Linked DNA regions of Oryzias latipes. The protein of the gene in region 4 interacts with the protein of the main gene of each other region in a biochemical or structural test. Links are inferred from orthologs where the notes say so. Each region holds a gene or a part of one and is shown on either strand. Other genes may lie near its edges.

What was found.
Region 1: the proteins of map1lc3c (region 4) and nedd4 form a complex in vitro, tested with the Homo sapiens proteins (2 studies listed by BioGRID and IntAct). The link is inferred for Oryzias latipes from reciprocal best matches to the Homo sapiens genes MAP1LC3C and NEDD4.
Region 2: the proteins of map1lc3c (region 4) and serine/threonine-protein kinase 3 form a complex in vitro, tested with the Homo sapiens proteins (2 studies listed by BioGRID and IntAct). The link is inferred for Oryzias latipes from reciprocal best matches to the Homo sapiens genes MAP1LC3C and STK3.
Region 3: the proteins of map1lc3c (region 4) and sqstm1 form a complex in vitro, tested with the Homo sapiens proteins (6 studies listed by BioGRID and IntAct, with this or other methods). The link is inferred for Oryzias latipes from reciprocal best matches to the Homo sapiens genes MAP1LC3C and SQSTM1.

Annotation. Positions count from the first base shown.
Region 1 is NC_019861.2:21,566,984-21,571,202, reverse strand, and holds the start of nedd4 (E3 ubiquitin-protein ligase NEDD4), read right to left. Parts: upstream 2,852-4,219; 5' UTR 2,270-2,851; coding exon 971-2,269; intron 1-970. UniProt on the Homo sapiens protein: E3 ubiquitin-protein ligase which accepts ubiquitin from an E2 ubiquitin-conjugating enzyme in the form of a thioester and then directly transfers the ubiquitin to targeted substrates. Specifically ubiquitinates 'Lys-63' in target proteins.
Region 2 is NC_019869.2:24,049,877-24,054,345, forward strand, and holds the start of serine/threonine-protein kinase 3, read right to left. Parts: upstream 2,824-4,469; 5' UTR 2,664-2,823; coding exon 2,638-2,663; intron 1,416-2,637; coding exon 1,335-1,415; intron 1,211-1,334; coding exon 1,082-1,210; intron 907-1,081; coding exon 792-906; intron 555-791; coding exon 390-554; intron 1-389. UniProt on the Homo sapiens protein: Stress-activated, pro-apoptotic kinase which, following caspase-cleavage, enters the nucleus and induces chromatin condensation followed by internucleosomal DNA fragmentation.
Region 3 is NC_019868.2:3,816,814-3,821,023, forward strand, and holds sqstm1 (sequestosome-1), read right to left. Parts: upstream 2,849-4,210; coding exon 2,680-2,848; intron 2,243-2,679; coding exon 2,147-2,242; intron 2,054-2,146; coding exon 1,785-2,053; intron 1,659-1,784; coding exon 1,514-1,658; intron 1,442-1,513; coding exon 1,373-1,441; intron 1,304-1,372; coding exon 1,167-1,303; intron 1,093-1,166; coding exon 828-1,092; intron 753-827; coding exon 592-752; 3' UTR 478-591; downstream 1-477. Other genes in the region: mrnip (MRN complex-interacting protein), read left to right, coding at 99-308. UniProt on the Homo sapiens protein: Molecular adapter required for selective macroautophagy (aggrephagy) by acting as a bridge between polyubiquitinated proteins and autophagosomes.
Region 4 is NC_019859.2:738,211-741,759, forward strand, and holds map1lc3c (microtubule-associated proteins 1A/1B light chain 3C), read right to left. Parts: upstream 2,033-3,549; 5' UTR 1,944-2,032; coding exon 1,883-1,943; intron 1,809-1,882; coding exon 1,753-1,808; intron 1,683-1,752; coding exon 1,576-1,682; intron 800-1,575; coding exon 637-799; 3' UTR 520-636; downstream 1-519.

The DNA.
Region 1 (4,219 bases), on a different chromosome or scaffold from region 4:
GTTTCTTACAACCTGCCAAAAGTGTGGGGAGACCGACACATAATACTTAACAAACATTGCTTGGAAGACGAACAACAGTGCAGGCAGCACACGTACTGGGAAACACGCACACACATGCCATGTCCACAGATGGCTGGCATGACTGTGTGCTGCTCTAGTATCATGCTGTTAAATTTGAATCCACAGGACCAAGCAGTGCTTCAGTCCACCAGACTATCTGGAGTCAGGGGGAATATTTCAGAGCCCCTTTATTTAAGTCAGCAAGGGGCAGCACTTTTCCCACCACTAAAATTAGCCTTGGGATATACTTAAGTTGATCCTTCATAGTGCTAACCGAATCATAAAAGTAGGGAACTGTTGAGTTTGCCCAACATTGGATTGTTATGCCCCCAAGATGGTAAAGAACCATGTCTTTGCAATTCACACATTATTTGGAAATCCACATTTGGAAGGATTAAATATAATGTAAATCAATATCTCTAAGTGTTTGTCCACACTGTACTTGTTCTTTGCGTGACTTTGTATTCAAGATCTTATGGAGTTACAGCACGTCTTGAACAAAGCCTGAAGGCTAACCCTTGTAAGCAACACTTTAGTGGTAGTAAATGAAAAGGAGAGTTAGAAAAAACAAATGTGTACTTAATATGTAGCATTGTTCTTTAAATTTTATTGAAACTATTTTTTTTCTGGTAGCAAAAATTCTAAATTATTTGTTATTTACATATTTTATAAAACCCTGTCATTTGCATTTTGCACCAATTACCCCGTTTTAAATAGTATCCTGATGGGTAAGATTACATCTTTGTAAGCTAGACTTATTTAGCAACTTTTTCAGCAGAACTTATGTCACAGAAAAACTATATGGCAATAATCTACATTAAAAAAAAATTCTGACAGATGTTAGTTTTCACAACATCCCAGTTCAGGCATTCAGCTGTTAGTCGGTGTTAGCGTTAAATATAGCACTCACCTTGGTGCTCTGACCTGAACTCTTTGTTTCATTATTCCATTTATGGCTTGTGTTTACATCATTGGTAGAGTTGGGCAACTTTGTGGGGCAACAGGGCGACAAATGAATATGCACATGGGGAGAATAAGAGCTGCTGAGCTTCGGTTTTGAAACGTGACATGAAATTTCGGTGTTAGGGTACGGCACCTCGAGGGAAAAACTCCTTTGCACGGCACGGTGACAGCGACCATCCTCAGACCAGTCTTGGCCATTCCCCGTTAAACAAGGCTTCCTTTTGGGCGATGGTTTTGTAGAAGGAAACAAACAAGCAGAGGTACTGCGATACAGTTTTTTTTTCCCATCATGTACATGCTCAGCACGATTAGTAGGGTGATGAGCCTCTGGATATTCCACATTTGCATCCTTACTGAGAGCTGCCTTTGTCGAGCCCTGTGGACTGTGGGGGGTAAAATGCAGCAGCAAACTACTTGAGTGACGATTAGACCTGTCTGGAGCTGATGAAACTTCTGCCCCTGCATTCCTGCTCTCAGCTTTGGACTGCTGTTTATCCTGTACAGGCAGATTAAAGTGCACCGTGTGTTTCGAGTCCTCAGCTGCTGAACAGTTTCCTCTTGGCTGACTTTGGCAACTGACTGCAGCTGTGGTGGACCCTTTGTAACTTACTTCCTCGTCGTCTTGTGAAAATGTATTGGTAGATGACTGAGGAGTTGAATGACTAGATCCTCTTGCTGGCAGGAGAGGTGGCAAAGCTCCTGAACTCACTGGGGAGGCAGGTGGAGTGCTGCAGGGGCTTTTTGGAAATATAACCAAAGACGAGCACCTCCGCAGTGGGACTCTGGTTCTCCAGGAGAGTCGAGTTCTCTCGTGGTTGGTCTTGTGCTTTTCTGGAGGCTCCGGTTCAAAGATGCTGTTGCTGCTGCAGTAACCAGCATCACTTGCCATGCTGCTGTGGCACGACCCTCCGCCGCCTTCATTAACCCCAGGGTCTCCATCCTCTATGCTGCCATCCTGCTCTCCACTGAGCTGTCCACAGGGCTGCAGTGAGATTTGTAGAACGCTCTTCGTATTACACCCTCCAGTGTTAACTCTCGGTATGAAAACTGAAGAGTATTGACTGTTGGCAAAGTCTGGTGACAGAGGAGTCACCTTCAAGTGGACAGAACTGTGCGCCAGACTCTGTGTGGGACTACGTACAGACGCACCAACTCCGCTCTCCTCATCGTGGCTGCTCGGGCTTTGTGACAGGGGGTCCGTGTTGCTTCTCCTTGACGCGAAATGCAAGCGGAGCCGACGCGCCATTTGTTTAACTCCCTAATCCCTGCAGCGCCTGTAAGAGCAGCATGATCACACTTGCTGGTAGGAAAAAGAAGCAAGTAAAGCAACTGCTGCGCACTCCGCTGTGATCACAATCATTAGCGACTGGACATTGCCAAAATAGCTCTGGTGACAACCTACATTCCTCTCCAGGCTCATCTCAGCTTTAAGTCAGAAGGGGCCAGTGGTTCTGTTTGGATACTTGACCCAAATGAACAATTTTAAAACCAGAGCAGACCCCCTAACAGAAAACAAAGTTACAGTAAAACACAAGTAATTATGCCATTATCGAAAGTCTGCCCTCTCGATCTTATTCAATCTTGTTTACTCTTTTAAAAAGAAAGAAAAACCAGCTTGAAGAAGGCAGACTTACGCTGAATGTCTAGTGAACTGTTACATCTGCTTTGGCTCACTCACTCAGGACTGCACTTCCTGTGACTGCAGTTCATCTAATGTTTCGCTGCTCCTTCCTCCAACAAATATTTTTACCTTCTACTATTGAATTACAGGAAATTACAGGAAATCAAAATGAAAGACTTTCAACATAATTCTGAATCAAACTGAAGCTCAAGTTGAAGAAATAGATCATTTGGATTGTAAGACAGATTTAAAGCTGCACAACAGCATTAATGCTGAGACTTCCAAAGTGATAAACTAGAATGCTAAATTACTTGTTTTGAGCAGGGATCCAACAAACTGCTAAACACTGAGCTAAAGGATATTTCTTTTAAAATAAAAACTATAATAACTGTGACATTACCGTCACACGACACTGGTTATATGACTCCGCATGTAACAGCCAGTTGCTGCTCTGATTTCTTTTCCATGGCTGTTGACAGTCCAGTTTATTAATGGAAGCTTATTGTTAGCTAGGCTGGTCTATTTCCGATAATTACTCTGCTTTCCAATACAGAGCGGTGGTAATGTTTAATATTAAGAAGCAAAGCTAGGATAATGACATGACTCACGAGCAGACACTTTTTTTCCTGCTCACTTTCATGGTGGAACAATGTCTCACATGACCAGTGAACCACATGACTGCAGATGAGTCACTCCCCAGAACTGATAGAGGAGAGTGATGGTGATAGGTCAGCCATAAGATAAGATGTATGACTAACACCACACACATATTTGTCAATCTACACAACTGTATCATGATGTAATATATTAATACAATGAAGGAGCTTTGCCGGATCTCATGTTCCATGACGCAGAAGTAAACAAGGTCATATTTACTCAACATTTAAGAGTGCAAGATATTGTTGCTACAAATGGAAACTCTGAGATAAGATCTGAGGAGAATTTGAAGAGGTAAAATAGGAGTCAGTCTAAATCTTAACTATTTTACTTTACAGTAAACCAACCAATCTAGCTCTGAAATAAATCAAACTGCTCCAACTGGATGTATCAGTGAGACTGAAATTGAGCAGTAATACAAAATTAAATCGAGCGGAGAAACACTAACATGTATGGAATGGAACCTACCAGGAATGGACAATGTCACATCACTGATTTAGCCAAATATTTATAATTTTATTTTTTTTACAATATTTAATACTGACTTCTTTAAAGTTGGAAAAATCGTTAGCAGAATCAGGTTGCGCGTATCAAAAGTGAACAGAAAATCAAAACTTGTAGTCTGCAGATGGTACCTATTAGATAAAAACCAATTACAGCATAAACATAGACTATCAAATTCTAAGGAATCATTCTAAGCAATTGCCATGGACACATGTTTTTGATAAAACATAGAAGTTTGATGTTTGAGTCACCACTTCATCCAGGATCCAGGAAATCTTTCAGTTCTCGATCTAAATGGAGCAAGACAATCTTCTGTTCTAAAGAGCCTTGTGGTTACACATTGAGTCCTATACTGACAAATTAGAAGCATGGAGGCTAAGATATCCATTAGGATGTAATAAATAGGAAGCAGAA
Region 2 (4,469 bases), on a different chromosome or scaffold from region 4:
GAACGTCTTCGTATTCCTCGTCTGAGCTGGCATCTAGATCAAAACTGGTCCGGTTGGATTGTTCCAATATTGCTCGCTATTTTTGTTGCAGCGATAATGTTAGGTTAGGGGTGTGAGGAGGTGTAAGCAAAAGGGAGAGTACAAACAGCTCTCAGATATGGGTGATGGGGAATGGGGGCGTTGCTCCACGCTGCAACTCAGAGGTGAATTTCCTGTGTCCTAGGAAATGACACAGGTTTTTGGATTTTGGCTGGCTGAAAACAGTTTTATCGTTATTGGGAGCATGTTTAAAATAGATCTAAGTATGATTTGTGTGGATCAAAAAAAAAAATTCCAGACCAAGTTACACAAATCAAATAAACATAAGTGGATCATTTCTTCTTGTTTACCGTCAACTGTCCTGCTACTCCAAAATCTGCCAGTTTCGCGTGACCCTCAGTGTTGAGAAGGATGTTTCCAGCCTTGATGTCACGATGAATCTTCCTCATGAAGTGAAGGTATTCAAGACCCTTCAGGGTTGATTTAAGGATGGTGGCAATCTCATCTTCTGTCAGCTGGACCATGAAAGCAAAGCAAAAACAAAACAAAAAAGGGCAGGGCGAGATAAACCTTGGTGTTAATAAAAGATCAGGGTAGTCATAAATAAATACATTATTTCTTCAGCCCAAATAGACTAACTGTAGTCAAAATTGGATTATTTCTGCTTCTTTTAAGTGTTTCTTTTCAAGTAGGGAAGAAATCTAACAGATCAATCTTACAACACATTCTAACCATAAACTTAAAAGGCTCACCGTCTTGTTGCGGAGTCTGATTATGTCAGAAACGGATCCAGCTCCGCAGTACTCCATGACAATCCAAAGGTCTGTGTTTTTGAAGTAGCTGCCATAGTATTTCACTACATAAGGGCTGGAAAGAGGTTCAGAGCAAAGTTTGTATTTAAACCTCAAAAAAAGGGAAGTATTCCTGCAAACATCAGAGTGCAGAGGAGCTTGAGTTTGACTAATTCTTTGGATAGTTTTGATCATCTAATGTACTCCACATGACACGGATAAGCATTTGCAGAGACATCTGGAATTCTCACCTGTCACACTGCTGCATGATGGAGATCTCTTTGATGATTTCCTGTAGATCTGACTCCACTGGAACCTGCTTGATGGCCACAACCTGTCCTGACTCTTTATGAATGGCTTTAAAGACACTGCCATAGGAACTAAGCACACACCAAAGCTAGTCACACACCACACCAGGGTGCGCAAAACCAATGTATAACACAACAATCAACTGTAAAAAAGGAAAGTACAGGATGAAAAGAAAAAAGGAATCAAAGTTCTTACCCTTCACCAAGTTTTTCTAATACATCAAACACTTCCTCTGGCTGTTTTGTCAAGCTGTCCTCGCTCAGCTTTTTCAGCTTGCTGCAGTTTAAAGAAAGTCATCTTATTATTGACATCAATAGACAATATAAATAATAAATAGCCCAGATAGTTTTAGGTAATGCAGAGGGAACAATATGAGATTTATTTACTCAATTAATATAAATACGTTTTAATTAATTTTGCTTTGATTACCATATTTAACAGAGAGCAAGAAACAAATAAAATGTCTACCAAAAAAGACAGATTTGTTAATTGTTTATTGCTATCAGTATGGATTTCAACACAATAGTTAAGACTTGAAGTGTTTTCTTAGTTTTTCAATAACAGGCTTAAAAACAGCACAACTAGAAATCCTCCAATGAAACGGCTTTCAAAAATGACCAGGAAGTGACTTCATGTTACTTGATTAAGGCCCTGTGGGTTTTTGCTCGTCATGTGAAAAGGTTTTAAGAAGATGTAGTTTCACTCACTCAGGATTACTGTCAACCATAAAAAGTATTAAAACCTAACTTATTTTGTCAACACAATGATACTGTATTAGTAAAATTCACATTTAATTTCAAATATAAAATTCAATAAAATGAGGAAAACCAACAAAGCAACCAAATAAAAAAGCCAATTGTGTGTGCAAAGTCTGATTTATGTATTGTACTGTATATGATACAACAAAATACAACTGAATTAAACTTTATTGATACAAAAATTGGAAATTACCTTGTTACTATAGCTCTAATAAAAACAGCAGATAGAAAATATTTCTATAAATATTAGGTTATGAACATGTTAAAGTTTCAAATGTATTTAAAATTAAAATATAATGCCAAACAGAAAAGTACATTATATGCTTATGATGTAATTGCATAACAAAATAATACTTAACTGGTTTTGAAGAACGCAATAAATTAAATTACATTTTGTAAATAAAATTTGCTACTGTTTTCGTTATTTTAATTGCTGTACGCGCACGTTTTAAATACATTAAATTTGCCTGTAGGGACAAAAGGCAAGACGTTTTATAAAATGTACACTTTTTTGTTGTTCCTTAAAATTGTGATTAAAAATGTGTCACCGTTTCGAAATTTCAACGTCAATTTTGAAGTGAGGAAGTACAGAATAGTAGGGCCTATATCCATGTAAATAGAAAGTTTCAAACAAAACCACTGGAGTTTAACGACTAAATGAGTTAGCTTAGCATTAGCTAGTAGGGGCTCAGCTAGCATCCGATTATGCTAAAGTTTGAACAATTGGAATCTTTACAAACCTTTTAGGCGCGGTTGGCTCCATCATGAATCAACTCGAAAACGTAAATTTAAGGAGCGCTTTTAAAAAAGATTGCCGTTTTGTCACTATGGAACGAACGTGTGAACATTGTCGGCAGACAAGACGCGTTGTTGTCAGAAACTAGCAGAGGGCCAGCTGAGATGGGCGCTTCATCTTCTTCGTGGAATCTAGTGAGGGCAATGCACAAAAGATCTAACGCATTACCGCCACCTCGCGGCTTCAAGGGTTACCTACAAAGTCGGGAAAACGTGGCCTGTGTTTTTTATGAAAGAAATGACAGCAAAAAAACAACAACTTCAACAACAAACTCAAATTGCACTGTAATTTTTTGTTTAATTTTTAAAGATGTAATTTTAAAGTTATATAAATGTTTTCACGTTACACTGGCATTATTTTGGAAACAAAGAATTGATTTATGTCCGAGGAATAGTATGTACTAATTTTAGATTTTATTGGGATTCATTTAAAGGGTATGGGGCGCCGAATGTAAAAATTAACCTCAGGAAAATTATGTCTCAGTTTCACCACATTTAGACATTTCTTTCCCATAAAAGGGCCTATATTATATCAATTTATTCCGATACAGTGGGGCAAAAAAGTCAGCCACCACTTGTGCAAGTTTTCCCACTTAAAAAGATTAGAAAGACCTGTAACTTTCATCACAGGGATACCTCAACTATGAGAGACTAAATGAGAAAAAACAATTAAGGAAAGTTCAACTCAATGCTTTGTTACATACCCTCTTTTGGTAATGACAGCAGTCAAACGTTTTCTGTAAGTCTTCACAAGGGTTTCACAAACTGTTGTTGGTATTTTAGCCCATTCCCCTTTAAAGATTTTCTATGGGGGTTGCGATCTGACAGGCTAGGCCAAACCAGGACCTTGAACTGCTGTTAAGAAGCTACTCCTTTTTTATCCGGGCAGTGTGTTTGGGATCGTTGTCATGCTAAAAGACCCAGCCCCCTTTCATCTTTAGTGCTCTTGCTGATGGAAGAAGGATTCACTAACTAACTCACTGTGAGTCGTTCCTGGCTTGAAGCAATGAGAGGGAGCAATTTCTATCACCTCCACCTATGCCCGTTCTTCCATTGCCTTTCTGACTGCTCACGGTTTATGGCTACAACACGAGGGTCTGTTTAGGATGGCGACTGTGCTTATGAGGCCGTGTCAATTCACCAAGATTCCTCCCCCCAGCTGATCTATGTGGACCGCGACTGCTGCACCAGAGATGCCGTGTCCAGGGCAGCTGACGTATTTTTGGTTCAAACTCATCATGTTTTCATTACATGTTCCAAATGTTCCAACTTCTCAACCAATCAAATGGCCTGATTCGTTCCAATTTCAACTCTGAAACTTTGGGGGTCCAATCAGAGAGCTGGATTTGTTCCAATTTCTCGCCCCCGCCCCCCTTCTTTTACTGTCATGACTGCCGTCTTCCTGGTTGGACGTAAGTGCTGTTTTTCCTTTGATTTAACGAGAAATCGATGGTTTTAAGTGCTGAAACGATGTTGAATGTTTGTGTTTTTATTAAAAGATGCGCTTTTAAATTTTGAAACTTTCACTTTCTGCTCACAGTTGTGAGAGCCTTTAACTTCTTCGGTCTGATGTTGTATCTTTTCCTAAATCCCAGCATCCTGGGACCAGCATACTCTGTGTCTTCAAGTTCTCCAGCCGGCAGAAAAAGTGGGAAAGGGCTGTGATTGAGCAGGAAGCTGGACTCCTTCCTGCTGCTCCAGCTGTTTCCTTGCAGCCTATACCTGCAGCTGAAGGGCTGTCCTTGGTTCAGGCGGGACAGCCCTTCGACGACAAGAT
Region 3 (4,210 bases), on a different chromosome or scaffold from region 4:
TGCTGTTTAGCACGTGGTCACTTTGAGTGAAACAGTTCTCTCTTCAGGTTCTGGTGTTTCTGTCATCCAACTTTCACTACTGTGTTCTTTATCTGCAGCTGATTGGTCCAGCAATGAGACGTTCTGCTGATGAAGCTCACTTCCATCCCCGCGCCTTTAGCTCAGCCTGCTCTCTCAAATCTGATTCCGAAATCCAAGAGGAGGAGCCTCCAGCTTGTGGGCGGAGTCAAGCCCCCAACATGCCCCACCCAGGACTCAGTGTTTCCTCCCTGTTCGAAACTGAGGAAGACTTCAGTATTGACTTCTAGCAGCTCCTATGTGTAGTCTGGTTCAAGTGTGCTGCTGGTGGAGGTGTTGCCGTGGAAACAGGTGATATAAAATTACATTTAGTGTTTCATTTGGACTGTTTTGGTTCTCAAAAGCAGCCTGCTGTGCACTTGGCAGTACAGGTGTGTATCAAGACTCCACCCACTCGGATTCCTTCATGTTTTTATTGTTCAGAAACAGATTAATAAAAGACAGAAACAGGTTAAGGAGTTGATTAACAGTTGAACAGATAGAAACTCAGGTTAAATAAAGCAGCTGGTGCGGTCACTGTGGTGGGCGGGGCTGCTTGGCGTACTGGATGGCGTCCAGAGCCGCTCCAATGTCAAAGTTTTTGGCCTGGAGGAGTCTGGTGAGCCAGCCCCCCTCATCAGTGAAGCCCATCGACAGCATCTGAGCCAGAGACTCCACCAAGTGGGGGTCCGCCTCTGTGGGGGGCAGAGGGAGGAGCTTACAAGAGGGCAACAGTCATAGCAAATGATACTTGTGAGAACTAGACTCACCTTGAGGCAGGTGGGGGTACAGCGCAGCCTCCCGCAGACCTGTTGGCCCCTGCTGCCCTCCCGACGGGGGCCCCTGCTTCCCTCCCGACGGGGGCCCCTGCTGCCCTACCGACGGCTGCTGCCCTCCCGACGGGGGCCCCTGCTGCCCTCCCGACGGCAGCTCGCACTCGTGGTTCTTGGGGTCTAAGGATTGCAGCTCCCCCGTGGACGGGTCCACCTCTTTGGAGCTCAGGTGAGTCCACTCCTCGTCAGAGTCCCGGCTTGCCTGCGTGTACGTGGGGACGAGGGTCAGTTGTTGACACGTTCATTTCAGTCATTGATCAGTGAACACAGACTGACCTTTGACCTCTCAGCAGTTGCAGACTCCCCTTCGTTTACATCCATTGCCACATTGTCATCCCCCCCTCCAGCCTGAGTGGGTGGATTCACCTTCGACCTCTGCCCGTCATGCTCAACATCAATGTCCACGTCGATTCCTGCATGGAAATCATGACATCACTTCCTGCCTGTCCCCCAAAAACAGCAACTCCACTATGTACACTCACCCAGGGGGCTCAACATGGCGGCAACCCCCTCCCCAATGTTCTTCAGGAAGTCCACACTAGCCTGGGAAGCTGCAGAGGTCAGAGGTTAAGGTGGGAGCATGTTAATGCCCTAGGCTCAAACGTTTTTTGAGTTTCTCTCACCTGATGGTTCTCCACCGTCACCCGAAGATGCTGATGGCCTTGGCTGGTCCTGCTGTTCCTGCTGCTCTGGGTTTTGGTTTTGATTCTGGTTCTGGTTCCACATGCAGTGTCTCATTCTCTTCATCCACTTTCCACGGGGAAACCACTGCAGACACAGTTTCTGGTTCAGTCAGTGCATTTTGGCTTTGACCAAAAAGTCCTTTCTTTTAAATCAGCACGATGTCCAGACAGAAGTGGAAAGACGATTAGATGGTTAGATGGAGTAACTCACCTGCAGGGGGTGCCAGATGGGCAGCAAAGCGTGCTCAGTGTGCTTCCCTTGAGCCTGGCAGGTGGAGCAAAGGTCGTAGTCGGGACAAACGGAGCACTTGAACCGCATTCCCACAACCGGCCCTTCACAGCCGTCACAGGTGACGTTAGGGTGCAGGGCGGGGGGAGGGCCGTGATGTGGAGCATGAGGGGGGCCATGGGGTGGTGGGTGTCCAAACATGAAAGGGGGTAGGGCATGCAGTGGGAAATCACGGCGGTGCTCCTTCTTCTCTGTCAGAGTTCAGGAAGAAAAAAAAAAAAAAAACCGTGAGGGAGGACTGCTGGGAGGTCACTCTGATCTCACACAGGAGGCCGTGCATTTACCTTTGATGTAGAGGCGGAAGGTGGAGTCCTTCACGCAGCCCAGGCCCATCATCAGCTCATCATCAGAAGAAAAGGCCACCAAATCTCCATCCTCATCTGAAATATAAACCGGAATCACACCTGAAGCTCCTCCCCTCTACGTCATAAGGTCCCACCTACTCCGCCTGTGTTTGTGTGTGGGTGTGGGGGGGGGGGGGGGGTCTAAACTTCGGGCCTCCTGATCAACTGAATATTTTCAATTGCGCACAAATCAAAGGACAGAAATTTGTGGGCGTGGCTACATGCGTCACGTGACAGCAATCCCTTTAAATTAGCTGTTTCTTAAATAAGTCAGTGGGCGGATTATGTTTGTACAGATTCAAATGTCTACAGTCCTTCTATATACTCGAATGTTTCTCTAAGTTGGTCTTCCGCGTTACTGCGGCTGTTTAATAAAGTATTGACAAAAAGTTCGGTTCCAGGTTAGTGAGTATGACGGTTCCGATCAGACCCAGCGGATCCCGGCTCTGTCTGACCCGGCCCATGCGGCTCACCTTTGTAGAAGAGGTTGAAGGAGGAGTTCATCAGGTTGGAGAAGACCGCCGCGGTTTTCTTGCTGAGATATTCGAAGTTGCAGGACACGTCCTGGTCCACCGCGAAGCGGCGGATCTCCTTCACATGCTCGTCCTTCCCCAGAAGGTAAGCCTTCACCGTCACAGACATGCTGCTGCTGCTGTGGACTCCGAACCACAAAGTTCTGACACCGGGAGCAGGACCGAGACACAGACGCAAAACCGTCACTTGAACAGTCCAAGAAAAATCCCAGTTTGTGACGCAGCGATAAATTTCAGCCTCTTTTATGTTTACTTCCGCAGGTGACGTGATTCTGTTAACAGTTGCGCAGCCGCGGATTGGTCCGTGTAAAAGGAACGCCGGTTCCAGAGGTCCAATCAGAGGCCGTCTTGTGTGTCACGTGATCAGGATCCCAGCAGACAGTTCACACACATCGCGGAGTCACCGTGAGAAGGCAGACTGCGGCCATGAAAACACGGAAACGATGAATCGCCTAGAGACGTCCTCCTGTGTTTATCAAACCTGTGGCCCATCGGAATGGATCCTTCTAGAATTAGTAGGAAAGTTCTAGACTGCTTCAGTACTTTTAGTGTTTCAGACTAAACAAGGGAAAAAATTTAATCTTTTCAATTTAAAACTATGGAAGTTCATTAAAGAGAAATTAGTAACTAACCATAAAATGTCAGTTATTTTAAATAAATAATTCATTTAACATTGGAATTTTTTTCCTTAAAACAGTTAAACTTCATTAGATTTTTTCTTTTGGAGAAAAAAAACGTTATATGTTTTTGAAATTTGTAATTCATTTTTTCTCAGCTGTTCAAGGAGGAGCCTACATTTTTATGTTATTCTTGTTAATGTTATAATGTAATATTTATTCTTTAAAATTATTATTGTTTTAGAGATTACTTCCAAGTCAAAAGGAAAAAAGTTTGTCACAAGAAAATAATAATAAATAATCAGGCCTTATAACATCGAAGACAAGTGAACAATCTAAACCTAAGATACAACTTTACTTAAATAAATAAACCAAAACTACAACGCCATTGTTTATTGAAATCATCAGGGTTTTTTGTTTAAAGCCAAAGAGACCTAATGGAAGGTTAAAATAGCTGCATGAAGACTAATATATTGTATTCTAGTAAATACTCATGATTAGTTAACTGTAAGCATTTTTCATGTCTACCATTATTTGTCCTGGATCACTGAGAGGGAGTTGATGTCTAAAATTCTTCAGTTATTTTTCCTATTCAGAGGGAAAAAAAGAAAAACAATTTTCAGAAGTGTAGTAAATGGATTACATCTGTAAACTACCAGTAATGATAAATTCATAGTCAATGTTTATGAGGAAATCTCCTGATATTCTGTCCACCTTTAGGTCTTCTCTTCAAATCTTAATGATTAATTCACCAACATGGGGAATTTGCATGCTTTGTTCAGTTGTGTGTACTGTTGTGTGTTTGTGTACTCTGCCTTCATGCACGCCTTTGTGGTGATGTCACCCACCGTCCT
Region 4 (3,549 bases):
TCCACTGACAGATGTTAGAGTCCAGTGAAGTGGTGCTGGTTCTGATGGACTCTACCGACACAGTGACCCGGTTTGGGTTTAAGGAGGAGTCACTGATGGGGTTCTGATGACCATTTCTGTTCTGGACCTCTCAGCTGATCCAGTCAAACTCAGAACACAGACCAGGTTCTAGAGCCCCCCCCCCCCCCCGGGTGTGTGTGTGGGGGGGGGGGGGGGTGTTCTGTCTGGGCTGGAGGTCTCCGTTCCCCTCTTCTTGGAGCTAGACATTTACTCCGATTACTTTGTCAGGAACTGAAACGCGTTTGAGGCTGAAGAGTTCCGACCCGACCCGACCCGTCGCAGCGATCAAAGACCTTCCTTCATCCAGGAAATGATCTGAACAAACACGGCTCCATCCTCAGCTCCACATTCTGGAACACAGCCGGTTCTTTTCCATCAACCCTCACATTTACAGACGGACCTGAACGCAGCGCAGACCGGACGCCGTCTGTTCAGGTGAAGGAAAGTCCTGCAGACGCCTCACTGCTCAACATTTATTGCTTCATCTTTAAAAGTCCACAGAAACGTCAGTTTATAAAAATATTTTCTATTTACAGCAGATTCACAGCGGAAGTCCGTAAAAGTGCGGCGGCGGCGTCAGCGTCCGAACATCTCCTGCGAGGCGTAGGTCATGTAGAGGAAGCCGTCCTCGTCCTGGTGGTCCTTGTAGACCTGGGCCATGGTGAGGGACATGCTGGGCAGCCCGCTGCTGTTGATGAGCAGGTAGAAGGCCTGGCTGGGCAGCAGCGCCATCCGGTTCCTGCAGAGGGAGGGGCGTCAATGTGCAGCTGTTCCAGCATACTGGATTCTGTTGACATCTGAAAACAGATTAAAAAGCTTCCAGGTCCACAGCGCCACCTGCTGACCAGTCATTTCCTCACATCTGATGCTGAATGAGGACAGGAAGACATTTTATTCTGAAAAGCTGATTTCCTCCATGAAGCCCAAATTCTGGATGGAACTCCAACAGATCCGCAGTTTGATCAAAACGGTCAGAAATCTGCTCTTCAGATCCACCCCAGAACTTCCCAGATCCTCGTTTTTCAGGGCTCTGCAGGACAGAACCGGACTTTGGACTTTAATCTGCTAATCCATAATCTGGTGTCAGATTACAGCGGCTGAAGGAGCAAACAGACGGCAGCTGGAAGTCAGATCAGAAGTGTCTGCAGGTTTCAGAAACTCAGGAGGAAGAAGAGGAGGAGGAAGAGGAGGAAGAAGAAGAGGAGGAAGATCTGGACATCTGTCACCAAAACTTTTCAGAGAAGAACTGAACCCAAAGTTCTGATCCACACAACGGAAGACTTTCAGAACCGACTCAGCAGTCAGAACTTGGATGAAGAAGACTGAGCAGCTCATCTGGGTTCTGGATACCCCCACCCCCTCTAAAAGGTTTCTAAGGAGCGCGTGCCTGCAGTGTCACGTGATGTGTCTCCTTCAGGAACAAACAAAGCTGACCCATTTATGAAGAAAGATAATTGATCTTTTAAAACAGCCTAGAGCACGCGCGCACGCACGGCGCGCTCTCTACAGACTCACCTGATGATGGTGACGAACTGCGTCATGGTGAGCTCGTGCGGCACCAGAAACTTAGTCTTATCAAGGGGGGGCAGGAACCTCTCCTTGTCGTAGCGCTCGATGATGACCTGGGGGGGCGCAGCAGCTGATTGAGTGGGAACGAACAAACACCTTTGCGCGTGACGGCCGCCTACTTACCGGGATCTTGTTCGGAAATTTGGATTTAATTCCCGCCACCTCTTGTTTCCGCGTGGCTGCGCGCACGACACAAACGGAGCGTTACGTTAGTGGCAAACTGTGGCGCGTGCGTGAACGCGCGAGGCCTTACCAAAGCTCTTCCTCTGTTTGAAAGGTTTGCTCTGCGGAGGGATCTTCTCCAGCGGAGGCATGATGGAGCGCCGGGTCGGAGACAGCGCGCGGACGAGCCCGCGTGGGGCTTAAATACGGGCGGCTGGAACACATCAGCTGATTGCCGCGTGTCCACGGGGTGGGCGTGGTCAATACGGGTCTCTGATCAGCCGGAGGTGGGGGGGTCCTCACTGTTTGAGAGACCTTTATGAACGTGAGGTGATCAAAGTGAAAAGCCAGGTCACGTGCGCGCAGGTCCAAGCTGGGATGACCTCTACAAGGTCACGTGCTTTACTCTCCTTATTTACACACACACACACACACACGCACACACACGCATACACACACACACGCATACAACAATACACACATGTAACCACACACAATTGCTGATTTAATTTTAAACCAAACTTATGATTCAAAATATTCTCACAAAAACATCACAGACAGAATTGTTCTTCATCATCTTCATCCTCAGAGTTCAGTTCTGTTTAAATGAAGTCCGTTCTTTGAAATTTTCATTGTTGTTGATCTTCGTTTCAACTCTCAGAATGATCTGGATTTCCATCAGTCAAAGACAGGAAAGTGCAGACAGTCAGCTGGCGGGTCAGTGACGTCATGGCGCAGGTAAGAAAAGTCCAAACATGTTATTATTAGTACTTTCAAAATAAAAGTATCCTTTCTCATTGTGACTATATCTTCCAGAGGTTTGCGTACAAATGAACCTGAATGGCGTTGGGGGGGTCAACTGGTGCTGGTGACGTTTATAAAGTTTTATTTACCTTCACAGGTTTAGTCTTTGCATTCTGGGAATATTTTGTCTAAAAAACAGATTTTACAGACTGCATCCACATAGAAGCCTTATACCTCCTCAAGTTTATTTATTCATTTTGTTCATTTCATCCTGTTGAGTCTTCAAACCCCCACTCTGCTACTGGTCTATGGGGAGGGGTCAGAATACCCCCCCCCCCCCAACAGATGTCTTTGAAAATATAAAATTCATACCAATACAAGAATAAATACAGTTCTGAATACGAGTAAACACTGTTTTTAACTTTTGAAATATTATATTTATAAGCTATTGAGAGCAAAAAATAAGTAATATAAATTATTTACACAAACTTGAGACATAGAATACCGAATAAAACATTAGGGAGCGTTATTGTTTGGAAACCTTTCATTTCATTGATGGTATTTTATTTTGACAGTGCAAAGCGGTTGTGACGTAGCATCCGTCTGACAGGCTGCGGGACTGCGTGGTCCACAGCTCGCGCGCGGTTCTGGATGGATTTTCCTCCGCGGAGGATTTTCGAGCGACGCGGCTGACCCACCGGACCGAACCAGCGGCTCCGTGGTCCCGCCATGATGGACGAGCACGCGGGCCCCGGGGTGTTCCTGAGCGGCGGCGGTTCGGGCTCGGCTCCGCATCTGGGCTCCGTGAGCGGCGGAGAGGCGGCCCGCGCGCGGTACAGCGTCCCAGGAATCCTGCACTTCCTGCAGCACGAGTGGGCGCGCTTCGAGGTGGAGCGCGCGCACTGGGAGGTGGAGCGCGCCAAGCTGCAGGTGAGACCCGCGCGGTTCCGATAATGTGTCCAATTGGACGCTGGCATGGGCAGGTCAACCTGTGCGCTGACGTCACTGACCTGT